3 linked regions of the Caenorhabditis elegans genome follow. The protein of the gene in region 1 purifies or fractionates together with the protein of each later gene. This does not show direct contact. Each region holds a gene or a part of one and is shown on either strand. Other genes may lie near its edges.

The links.
Region 2: the proteins of gsto-2 (region 1) and Y57G11C.43 fractionate together in Caenorhabditis elegans (co-fractionation; one large-scale study listed by BioGRID). This does not show direct contact.
Region 3: the proteins of gsto-2 (region 1) and F35D11.4 fractionate together in Caenorhabditis elegans (co-fractionation; one large-scale study listed by BioGRID). This does not show direct contact.

Annotation. Positions count from the first base shown.
Region 1 is NC_003281.10:8,553,022-8,556,395, reverse strand, and holds gsto-2 (putative glutathione transferase omega-2), read right to left. Parts: upstream 1,625-3,374; 5' UTR 1,601-1,624; coding exon 1,558-1,600; intron 1,504-1,557; coding exon 1,039-1,503; intron 972-1,038; coding exon 715-971; 3' UTR 652-714; downstream 1-651. Other genes in the region: C02D5.4 (Glutathione S-transferase omega), read right to left, coding at 2,632-2,888, 2,993-3,374. UniProt on the Caenorhabditis elegans protein: Exhibits glutathione-dependent thiol transferase activity. Has dehydroascorbate reductase activity and may contribute to the recycling of ascorbic acid. Participates in the biotransformation of inorganic arsenic and reduces monomethylarsonic acid (MMA).
Region 2 is NC_003282.8:14,767,476-14,771,255, reverse strand, and holds Y57G11C.43 (Protein KTI12 homolog), read right to left. Parts: upstream 1,816-3,780; 5' UTR 1,682-1,815; coding exon 1,597-1,681; intron 1,543-1,596; coding exon 1,146-1,542; intron 1,093-1,145; coding exon 987-1,092; intron 940-986; coding exon 619-939; 3' UTR 557-618; downstream 1-556. Other genes in the region: degl-1 (DEgenerin Like), read left to right, coding at 1-12, 68-146, 199-315, 381-479, 527-556; Y57G11C.3 (Putative 6-phosphogluconolactonase), read right to left, coding at 2,193-2,966, 3,020-3,055; mrps-7 (Small ribosomal subunit protein uS7m), read left to right, coding at 3,531-3,644, 3,690-3,780.
Region 3 is NC_003280.10:4,601,612-4,604,712, reverse strand, and holds F35D11.4 (CYTH domain-containing protein), read right to left. Parts: upstream 1,287-3,101; 5' UTR 1,280-1,286; coding exon 1,182-1,279; intron 1,125-1,181; coding exon 1,055-1,124; intron 1,004-1,054; coding exon 647-1,003; 3' UTR 552-646; downstream 1-551. Other genes in the region: coa-3 (Cytochrome c oxidase assembly factor 3), read left to right, coding at 2,080-2,196, 2,835-2,921, 2,978-3,101.

The sequences.
Region 1 (3,374 bases):
GACAATTTTTAGATTTTCCGTGTGAATTTTCAGAGCAGACAACGTATTTATATATTCCTGAACATCTAATGGAAGATTCAATATATTCCCGCATTTCCAAATGAAAACAACTCTCATATTACACTTGGAACGTCCACAGAAATGCGTTTAGTTTATTCACAAGTGAGGAGAAAGATGGAAAAAAAATTATCAGTTTTCTCTTTAACTCTGACTCATCAAATGTTCAAAACGTCCGTACTGTATGAAGCTTATACAAAATTAAAAAAATTACATTTCATAAAAAGGGACAGTTAGACTTAATATCAAAAACACAAGAAACCGAACAGAGGTGACAAGTTCACTTCATGATAAAACTTTTCATAAAAACCTATAGAAATAAAACTCCGGTGTCAGTTAAAAGAAAACAATTTTCAAAAAAAAATAAATCCTCAAAGCCAACTTTATAAGAGGAAGAATAGTTTGCAAGAAGCAGACACGCATCCGCGTCGCCGAAGTATTTCTATAAAAATGAAATGGAAAGTGACTGGACGAGAGACAACAATCAGATCTCGTCGTTTTCATCCTTTTTCTCTTATTCTCAACCATCATCTGTCACTAATAGCATCTCCCTCTTTGTCTTACTTTCTGGATAAACAAAAAAGTCTGCTTCAATCTCTCCAAAAAGTTTATTTACATTCAAATACTCATATGCAATTTGTAACGAAGAGAAGATATTTACAATCCATAGTCAAAGTTTGGTGCTCCAATAATCCAGCTTTTGAAGAACTCAACTGCTGTTTCAGTTGGTTGGCTGGTAGCAATAACTTCTGGAATTGAATCCAATCTTTTATACCATTTAGATAGTTTCGGATAGTTTGGTCCTGGGAACGATTCTACTTTTAATGGGAAATCCTTGATGATATGGGAAGTCCAGAAAGCACGTTGAATGTTCGGATATATGAGATAATCGACAAATCCTGGTTTTGATGTTCCTGAAGATTTAAATATTAAATTAATTTTAATTAAACTGATTAGTTTCAATATTAAAATATTTCGTGCCTGAATAAAAATCTCCAGTCAAGAGTTCCTCTGCTGTATCATATGCTTTTGCAAGTTCAACTAGTTTTTCCTTGAGAAGATCAGAAATTTTGGCCGCTTGAACAACACCGTAGAATGCAGAAGAAAGTTGTCCACTGATTCTATCCAACAATAACTTTTGCTGAACTTTCTCGTAATGGTCAGTTGGAATAATACGAGGTTCTGGATAGATATCATCCAAATATTCTGGAATCACAGCTGACTCAATCACAATTTTCTTTCCCTCGTCGTGCTCTAGTGCTGGAACTTGTCCTTTGTAATGTTTCGTGAAAAACCAATCTGGTTTTTGATCCAAATGGATGTTGATTACTTCGGTCGGGATCTTTTTGAGAGACGCAAAGATTAGAGCACGTTGAGCCCATGGGCAATATCGCATATTGTAGATACGAATGGTTCCTGAAGCTGGTGGAGCTGGAGCTGGATCACCTGAAAGAATCTTGGTAATTCAGTTGTCAGACAAAAACAATCTCAATAACGTACCATTTTTGACAACTTTAGTGTTTAATCCTGATAGGACTGACATGCTTCTTCGTTCCGCAATTGTTCTGCAATGTAAATTTTTAAAATTAATTTTCGAGCTTGAAAGATGCACGTAGAAAGATATAAAAGTCAAACGAGTTATCACATGAGGAATGCTGCATTATTAATTTGGTATAAATAGTCAGTGTTGTGCTGGGGGAAGGAAGTAAACACAGGCGGAAGCCTACATGATGACAAATTGCACTTGTTTTCTTGGTGTAACGGATTGATCATAAAACATTTTACAGGAAGGCCTTGAATATTACCAAAGTGGATTGTATACAAAAATTTAAGTTGATAGACGTAGAAACGAAGATTACTTATTTTTGTATAGGAAATCCTAGCTTCTACTTATTAAGAATGGAAACGATCCATGACATCCTAGAGCATTTATTTTCATTTTTCTTGGTGTGCAAAAACAAACGATGACATAGCGAAAGAACTCCCTCTGAGCCCCCTCTAGAATGACTTTGAACTATGCTACAAACCACATGTTGTAAAAAAATCAGTCACAAAATTGTGTTATTTCCTCCAAAAACACACACACACGAGAACGGTGAATTTGCATGATGACTTTTGAATCGAAGTTTGTTATCATTGCGATCTAAGAATTAATTGTGAATGGCGATCACAAATTTCCTCTACGTTTTTATTTCGCTATTCTCAATATGGCTTAAATTCAGTCTGAAAAATAAATTGTGTTTATTGGACGCATAACTTGATAATATAGCATATTGTTCTATACTGAAAAGTATAATTAAAGCACAGGAATTATGGACTGTGATATAGTGCCAATAAAATTATTGATGGTAGAATATATATCGTTTGAGAACATTTTGTGATCACCTCTGAAAACTATTTTGGAATTCAGTTGTTTTTTCCTTCGATGATTTTCGTTGTAACTTTTGTTTTTAGAATCGTCCACTTTTCTAATTTTTCTAATTCAACAAAATCATTATTATATCGAGAAATGTTTTATTAAATTCCACATATTCACATCCACAACACAAAGTTTAAAAATATAATAACAAATGTTTACAATCCATAGTCATAGTTTGGAGATCCACCGAGGTAATCCTTGAAGAATCCAACCCCATTCTCTGTTGGCTGACTGGCAGCGGCAACTTCTGGAATCGATTCCAGAGCCTTGTACCATTTGGATAGTCTTGGATAGTTTGGTCCTGGGAACGATTCAGCTTCCAATGGGAAATCTGGAACTATGTGTGCTGCCCAGTAAGCGCGTTGAATGTTCGGGTAGAGAAGATAGTCAACAAATCCAGGTTTTGAGGTTCCTGAAATTAATTCAAATAATTTTAAAATACACAAGACTAAAACTACAACTTAGTTTCTGTTCTTTATAAGTTTCGCATTCTCAATCTTAATTCTTAAAAAATACCTGAATAGAAATCTCCAGTCAATAACTGCTCAGCATTATCATACGCCTTCTTGATATCCGCAAATTTTTCTTCGCGGAGATCTGGATTTTTGACAGCTTGAACGACTCCGTAGAATGCAGGTGACACTTGTCCACTGATTCTATCCAACAATAACTTTTGCTGAACCTTCTCGTAAGGATCAGTTGGAAGAATACGAGTCTCTGGATAGATATCATCCAAATATTCTGGAATCACAGCTGATTCAATAACATGCTTCTTTCCTTCGTCGTGCTCCAATGTCGGAACTTGTCCTTTGTAATGTTTTGAGAAGTACCAGTCGGGTTTTTCTTGCAAGTGAACATTGATAACATCGCTCGGTATATTTTTAACAGATGCATAGAT
Region 2 (3,780 bases), on another chromosome or scaffold:
AACGAGATGGTCGTAAGATAAAAAAAACTCTAAATTTCTAGCTTTTTCCATAGATTTTCGGATTCAGAAAAACAAAAAGTGCTGTACACGAGTGGGGATTGTCTTGTTCGTGGCATGGAATCCCTCACATGGCTCAATCTCTTTCAGTAAGTAATAGGTTCAAATATTTCTTCAAATTCAGAGATTCCATGATTCCAGTGGCCAACGATCCTTCTCTGGACAACCTTGCTCATTATCAGCGCCGTTTTGTTCGTCTACCTTATCACCGTCACCGTTCGCCAATACTTTTCGTTTCAAAAATTGGTGAATCTGAATGTAAATTTCTTAAATCGCTTTTTTTTTTAAATCTTTATTATTTTATTGAAGCCAAAGAATTGTAGATTGGAATGGTAGAGTCGAACTTCCCATCAATCACATTCTGTAATACAAATCCATATAAATTGAGTGCAGTTCGAGCGATTCCTGAGCTGGAAGCCTTGGTAATTAAATTTACAAAATTTAAAATGAATCGGAATTTTGTTTTCAGCTCACCGTCTACTCACAAGCCTATACATGATAAAACTTTGGATTTTTATTTTTCTGCATTTTCAAATAAAGTCATAACAAACAACAAAACAATCATCTCAAATTGCAATTCAAAAAATCGACAAATCCCGTGATAATCTTCTCCTTATCAGTTGTCGGATCCTTCTTCGACATGTTCACAAATTGGTGTCGCAGTCGATTCAGCTCAGGCAGCGTTCTCAATTTCATAAACTTTATCGTATTGGCTCCGTCTGTTGCTCCAGGAATCGTCAGGTTTTGACCGCGAACTGCAGTTCTTTGAGCATTTAAAAGCACTGTAACAACGTCTTGTGTGGATCGATCCAGCTCGTGAAGAAAATTTGTCGGCGCCAGTGGGACTGTCTGTGTTGATTGGTTTTCTGTGAGCTCTGTTCCCTGGAAAACTAATTATTTTTCTATTCGATAATTTAGGATTCACTTACATTACAAATCCATTCAACAATTTCATCTTCAAAAATGCTCGCAAATCTCGGAGCAGGATGCTCCAAGTCTATCGCCATATCCTCATCGAAGTCTACAGGCGTGGCTCTGGAATAGGAAACAATTATTATTTTTTTTTCCAATTAATTTTCCAATCTCACTTCTCAGCAGTACCAATTTTAACCTCAAACAATGGTTTTTCCCATCTCAACTTCGTATCCGGCCTTTCATATCTCATCATCAACTGATCGATAATCTCCTTCGGATATCTCTCCACTTCAGGCTTCTGCTCATTGAGCCAGTGACACGTGGCGACGGGAGGCGAGCACTCGACGACACAATACGTGGTTTTGCTCATCTTAGCGGCTAAGAATAATTCATATCGATATCCTTTGATATAATTCAAAGCATCACATATTATAACTTTATTCTTCGTTAGATTCTGTTGAACTTGAGATCGAATCCAAGATCGGAGATCCTTCTCTTTATTCGAAAATTCGTAGTTTTTTCGATCAAATCCTCCGTAATCTTCGTCCCGTATTATCAAATAGTCTTTGCCTGGAATGATGGGAATTTTAAGAAATTTTAAAGCAGAAAATACACAATTTTTACCTTTTTCCTCGAATTTCTTCGCTAATCTATCAACAACTGTAGATTTTCCAGACGATGGATGACCGGTAACAATGATAAGAGGCATAAATATCTAGAATAATCCTTATATTTCAGTAATTTTGACATATTTCAATCCATGAATTTTGCAAAAAACAACGTCGCACAGAAATAGAGGCGGGGCGTAATTTTGCAACCTTGCGGCACGATTTTTTACTCTATAAGAGATTGAAATTGGATCGCATTTTCATTCGAAAAAGAGAATAAAACGAGCAAATTCCCCGATCGATCCTGTAGTTTTTTGAAGTTCCGCATCTAAAAAAAGTAATTCACGGTAATGAACCGTTTACAATATTTTAGAAAATTGAATTTCATAAATTCAAAAATTGCAATTTTATTTTACAGTTGGAGGAAATCCGGAAACAATTTAAAACTTTCACGACGATTTGAATTTTTTTTTGTGGTTTTTTGTTTCTCTTTGATGATGGCCATAATTAAAGGAATAAGGAGGAATGCGACTTAATGAAAAAAATAAGAGAAAATTACAGAGAAAAAAAAAAGAAATTAGGTATATATTTTAATATCACACAAGATGCTGCTCATCCGTCAAACGGTGGAGGAGAGTCAGAATCCGACGAATCTCTATCCGGTACACCAGTTGCTGCGTCTTCATCGAGGAATAGTGTCAATTTGTCGTTGAATGGACGTGCTTGAGCGGCCGGATACTTTTGATCACGATCACAAATTCCTCGTACAATTTCCGCTTTTTGTTTCCCGCAAATGATGAAAGCAACGTTTTTGGCGTGTTGAAGAGTTTGCAAAGTAAGTGTGATACGAGATGGTGGAGGTTTCGGGGAGTCTGTGATGACGGAAACCCAATTTAGCTCGGTAATCTTCTCCAGCCGCTCCTTTCCAGGGAAGATACTTGCAGTGTGACCATCTGGACCAACTCCAAGGAAAAGAATATCGAAACGAGCAGTATTGTTGAGCTGCTCCGGGAGCAAGTATTTACGAAGACTGATTTCATAGTGTTGGGCGGTGAGGCAGGGATCCTTGAAAATTTGCATGGGCACAAAAACGTCTCTGAGCTCATTCGGGAATAATCTCAAATATTCTCCCTGATTACTTTCCTCGCTATCCAGATCAACGTTACGCTCATCAACCATAAAAATTCGAATCCTCTTCCAATTCAGCTGCTCTTGTGGCAAAGAGAGAATAGCTTTCGAAAAGACTCGTGGCATCGATCCACCGGAAACTCCAATACTGACTGTACCATTTTGATCTAGAAGATAGGTGAGCTTTTCCTCGAGATAACGACGCAGCTGAAGGATGAGCTCCTTTTCGTCGCCAGAAACGTTGAGCGCCGGCTTCATCTGAAAATAATTTTGTTTTATAAAGAATAAATACATTTGAAACGAGATTTTACATTGCTATTCGATACGAATTCGTTAACGAGACACATTGATATTCTCCACGGAATGAGCGGGGGCTGAGTGAGCGGAAATACTGAAAAAGAAGCAAGAAATAAAATCGTTTATGACATGAAAAGGATTTCTCTTCACGAAATAAACCAGGTTTATTTTAAAAGCTAAAGGAAGGTGTCATAAATAAGAAAAAGGAATTTTAATTTATTTAAACTGTATTATTATTATTCAGAAAAAAGCCGATGAAAACAGGAAAAAAACAAAAAGTGATAAATGTCTAGCAACAATACTCCGAAATGCATGCGCGCCCAGTTTATTGAGACGATAGACTATGCAAAAAGACGAGACGCAGAGTATGCAAGCATGCTCCACTGCACTCTTGTGTCGAAATACGAGCGAGTCCACGGATTTTCCATTGATTTCCGAGTTTTCTTCGCATATTTTTGCAGTTTTCAAAGCTTCATGATTTGCAATTTAATTATCAAATACTTAATATTGTTATTTGTAGTAAATATGACCACAAAACTGGCGCGATTCGCTCAAAAACGATGGATTTCTTCGACGACTTCCACATCAAATATGTACGATCCAAGAGTATTCAGAGATCCCGTAACGAATGTTCAAGAGGTTAATTTGTTTGTTTTAATCTATAAATCTTAACTATTATTTTAGCTCCGAAAACCATTGGATTCGGATGATGAGCGCAACTTTTTGTTCCTCAAAGCGATGAAAAGTGATGCGACACCAGTATTTTACAGAGATC
Region 3 (3,101 bases), on another chromosome or scaffold:
ATTCTGTCGTAATATTGGGGGCATTGGTTGTATTCGCGTACTTTTGGGGATACAGTACACAGATAATTGGAAAATTAGAAATCGCGGGAACGTGAATCAAAGCTGCACACAATTATTTAGGGTAAAACTAGTTAAAATAACATAAAAATAGTGAGAATTGATGAAAAAATATCTCTGAACTAAAATTTCCTCTTTATTTCTTTTCAAAAAGTCATAATCAACATCGGCATCAGTTATTCATTATTTGTTTCCGTTCTTTTTCCACTCTCCGGCTTCCAAATTCGCACATTAATCGAGTGAGTGAAGCGTTTTTCTCATTGTCTGAGCCTCTCTGTTTCAACGAAATTTTAGGAAAACGACAGAGAGAGACAGAGAGAGAGAGAAAAAAAATAAAATAAAATCGAAAAGCTGAAATGACATTTCTATTGATAAGGTTTTCGATAAAAGGAAGGAGAAAAATACAAAAAATGATGTCAGATTTTTGAAGTAATTGTTTTTTGTTGTTGTGGAGATTAGCGATTATGATCCTGCAAGATTAAATATAAAACTTTCTGATGCATAAACTTTTATGTATCCGCAATAACAACATATAACCGAGAGCTATTGAAAAAAAAAAAAATTCAAATTTAACAAATAATTGAAGCCTTCAAGCCTTCAACATATCCATATAGGCACCAGTGAGCAAATCGGTCTCTGGCACGGCGAGCAGCTCCCGAATCTCATGAGCTATCTTCTCTCCGTGCTCTGGAGTCTCTTCAGGCGACAGGCACACTTCCAACTCCATAAAATCACCGAGCCCATCGACGCGATCAATATGAATTCGTGTTTGACCGTGGAGCACCAGAGTTCTCGTCTTTTTCACCTCTCCTTTGACTCCCATTGAGGATTGGAGGGAGAGCTTCAGAGCATCAAGAACTTCAGATGGAACGTCGAATTTGTTGAAATTACTGAGCTTCGGGCCAGCCACGTCAGATCTATCGTACCAAATAAGCTCTGTGTGGGCCTGAAAAATCAAAATTTTAATTTTAAAGTAAAAAAGAAAACTATTATTTACCACTCCGTTCTCCTCAACGCTTCTCATCTTCAGGCGGCCATTCGGTGACTCGTAAAAGATGTCATGCTGCCTATAATAAAACATTTTTATGATTGATTTCCAATAAAACTATTCTGATTCAACTCACTTCAAGATAGTCGGCTGTTTTCCGGAAATTTCCACGGCGCGGCGAACCGTCTCATCGAGATTTTGAACTTTTGCCTTGATTTCCACGTTTCTCGACATCGTATTGCTGAAAAATGTCTTAATTAGTGGTGTATTTTGTAAATATAATCCACTTAAAAGGAAAAGGCTTCGAATAATTTCGAATAATTCGAGAAAAGAGTGATTTTGAATTCATTGTCACTGAAAACTGATAAAAAAGTTTGAGAGTTCAAACGCTCAAAAGTTCGCGGGCAACTGCGGCCGCGAGGGTTTTCTCGTCCACCTCGTGTGTACTCCTCTTGGAAGTAGCGCCAGGGAAACAAAAACAATGAAATGCTTTTTCGTCCTGCTTTTCCATCGGATTTCCTCGATTTGTACTGATTTTTTTAATTTTTTTTCCAATTATTCAATGAATTTAGTCAATTTATTTTTAAAAATGTTTGAATATTTACATTAAATCAGTGATTTTCTGTCCGAAGCTCATTTCACACGAGTGCGAGACTTCTAAAGCAAACATGCCCCCGAATTTGTTTCGTTTTCACGTTCGATACGCGGAAGTGAAAGAAAATTATTGATTTTTCTGTCAGAAAATTATAGGAATTATGAAATTCATGAAAAAAACCGAATACTTTCACCTTTTCCCTACACTTTTCTCCTCTAAAGATCGTGTCTTCTGATATAAAATGCCATTCACTCATCCATTTCTCCTCTTTCTTTTTATCCTTTTCATAAAGTTTTCAGTACACATTTCCCCATTTCATATGAAAATCAATATAAATCTCATGCCGCTGCTTCAAACATTTTCCCTTGATATTTGAACACCTTGTGATATTGACAACAATAATGCAATTTAATCGAAAAAAAAAATAAATAAATATCAGATGCTCGCTGTGCTCAATTGCCGGACACTGGCATTCCGAAGGCTTGTCAGCACGAGCCGTCTAGCTGCCACAAAGGAAAAATTGCCGACGGAGACGACGAAGTTCTCACAAATTGAAGTGAGTTTTTTTAAATTTTTTGGAGTGTTTTTTCGTCTGGAAAAGCCTAAAATTCGTGAAATTCATCGATCCAAGATTCGATTTTAGTTCAAAAAATCAACAAAAAAAAGTAAAGTTTGGAATATAATCTAAACAATTTTGCTCTGCCAGCTTCGCATCTGGTTTTGTTTTCCTTTAGTTTGGAGATAAATTTAGATTTAATTTAGTTTATATTTAAGTTGTAGAGTTTAGAGGTTATTTTTCTAGGCTTAAAAAATTATTTTTCAATTAATTTTTAAATTTTCGTGTTTTTTTTTTCAATTTTTTTTGTTGTAATATTCAGACAGTTTTTTTTGCAATTTCAGACTTTTTTTCCTTCAAAAAAATTTTCAAAATATTAAATAATCGATTTCCAGGCCAGTTTTGAAGTTTCAGCGAATATTTCAAGTTCTACAACTGAAAAAAAGACTTGATCCCCGAAAAAAACAGCTAAAACTCTGAAATTAGCCTAATAATCTATAATATACCATTTTCCAAGGATTTGTTAACGGAAAATGATTGAAAACCGTGAATTTATCCGGAAAAGCCGAAAATTTGCAAAAAAAGTGTTTTTTTTTTTTTTGGATACAAAATCTATAAAAAAAGCTAAATTTTTCCAGAAAAAGAAGGACAATGAGATGCTGGAAACAATCGATATTGAGGATCTACCACGACCACAGAAACGGTTCGCCAAGCAGTTTGAGAAGGTTTTTTTAAAATTAATTTTTTCCTCAATTTTCCTTAATTCTTTCCCAATTTCCAGGTGAATCAAGAGCGAGTCAAGGAGATTTTCGCGAAAAATTACAAGAATCACATCTCATTTGCCGTACTTTTGGGTGTTGTTATCGGAATCTACTGGTATACAATGTATTCTGTGAAACAGGAGA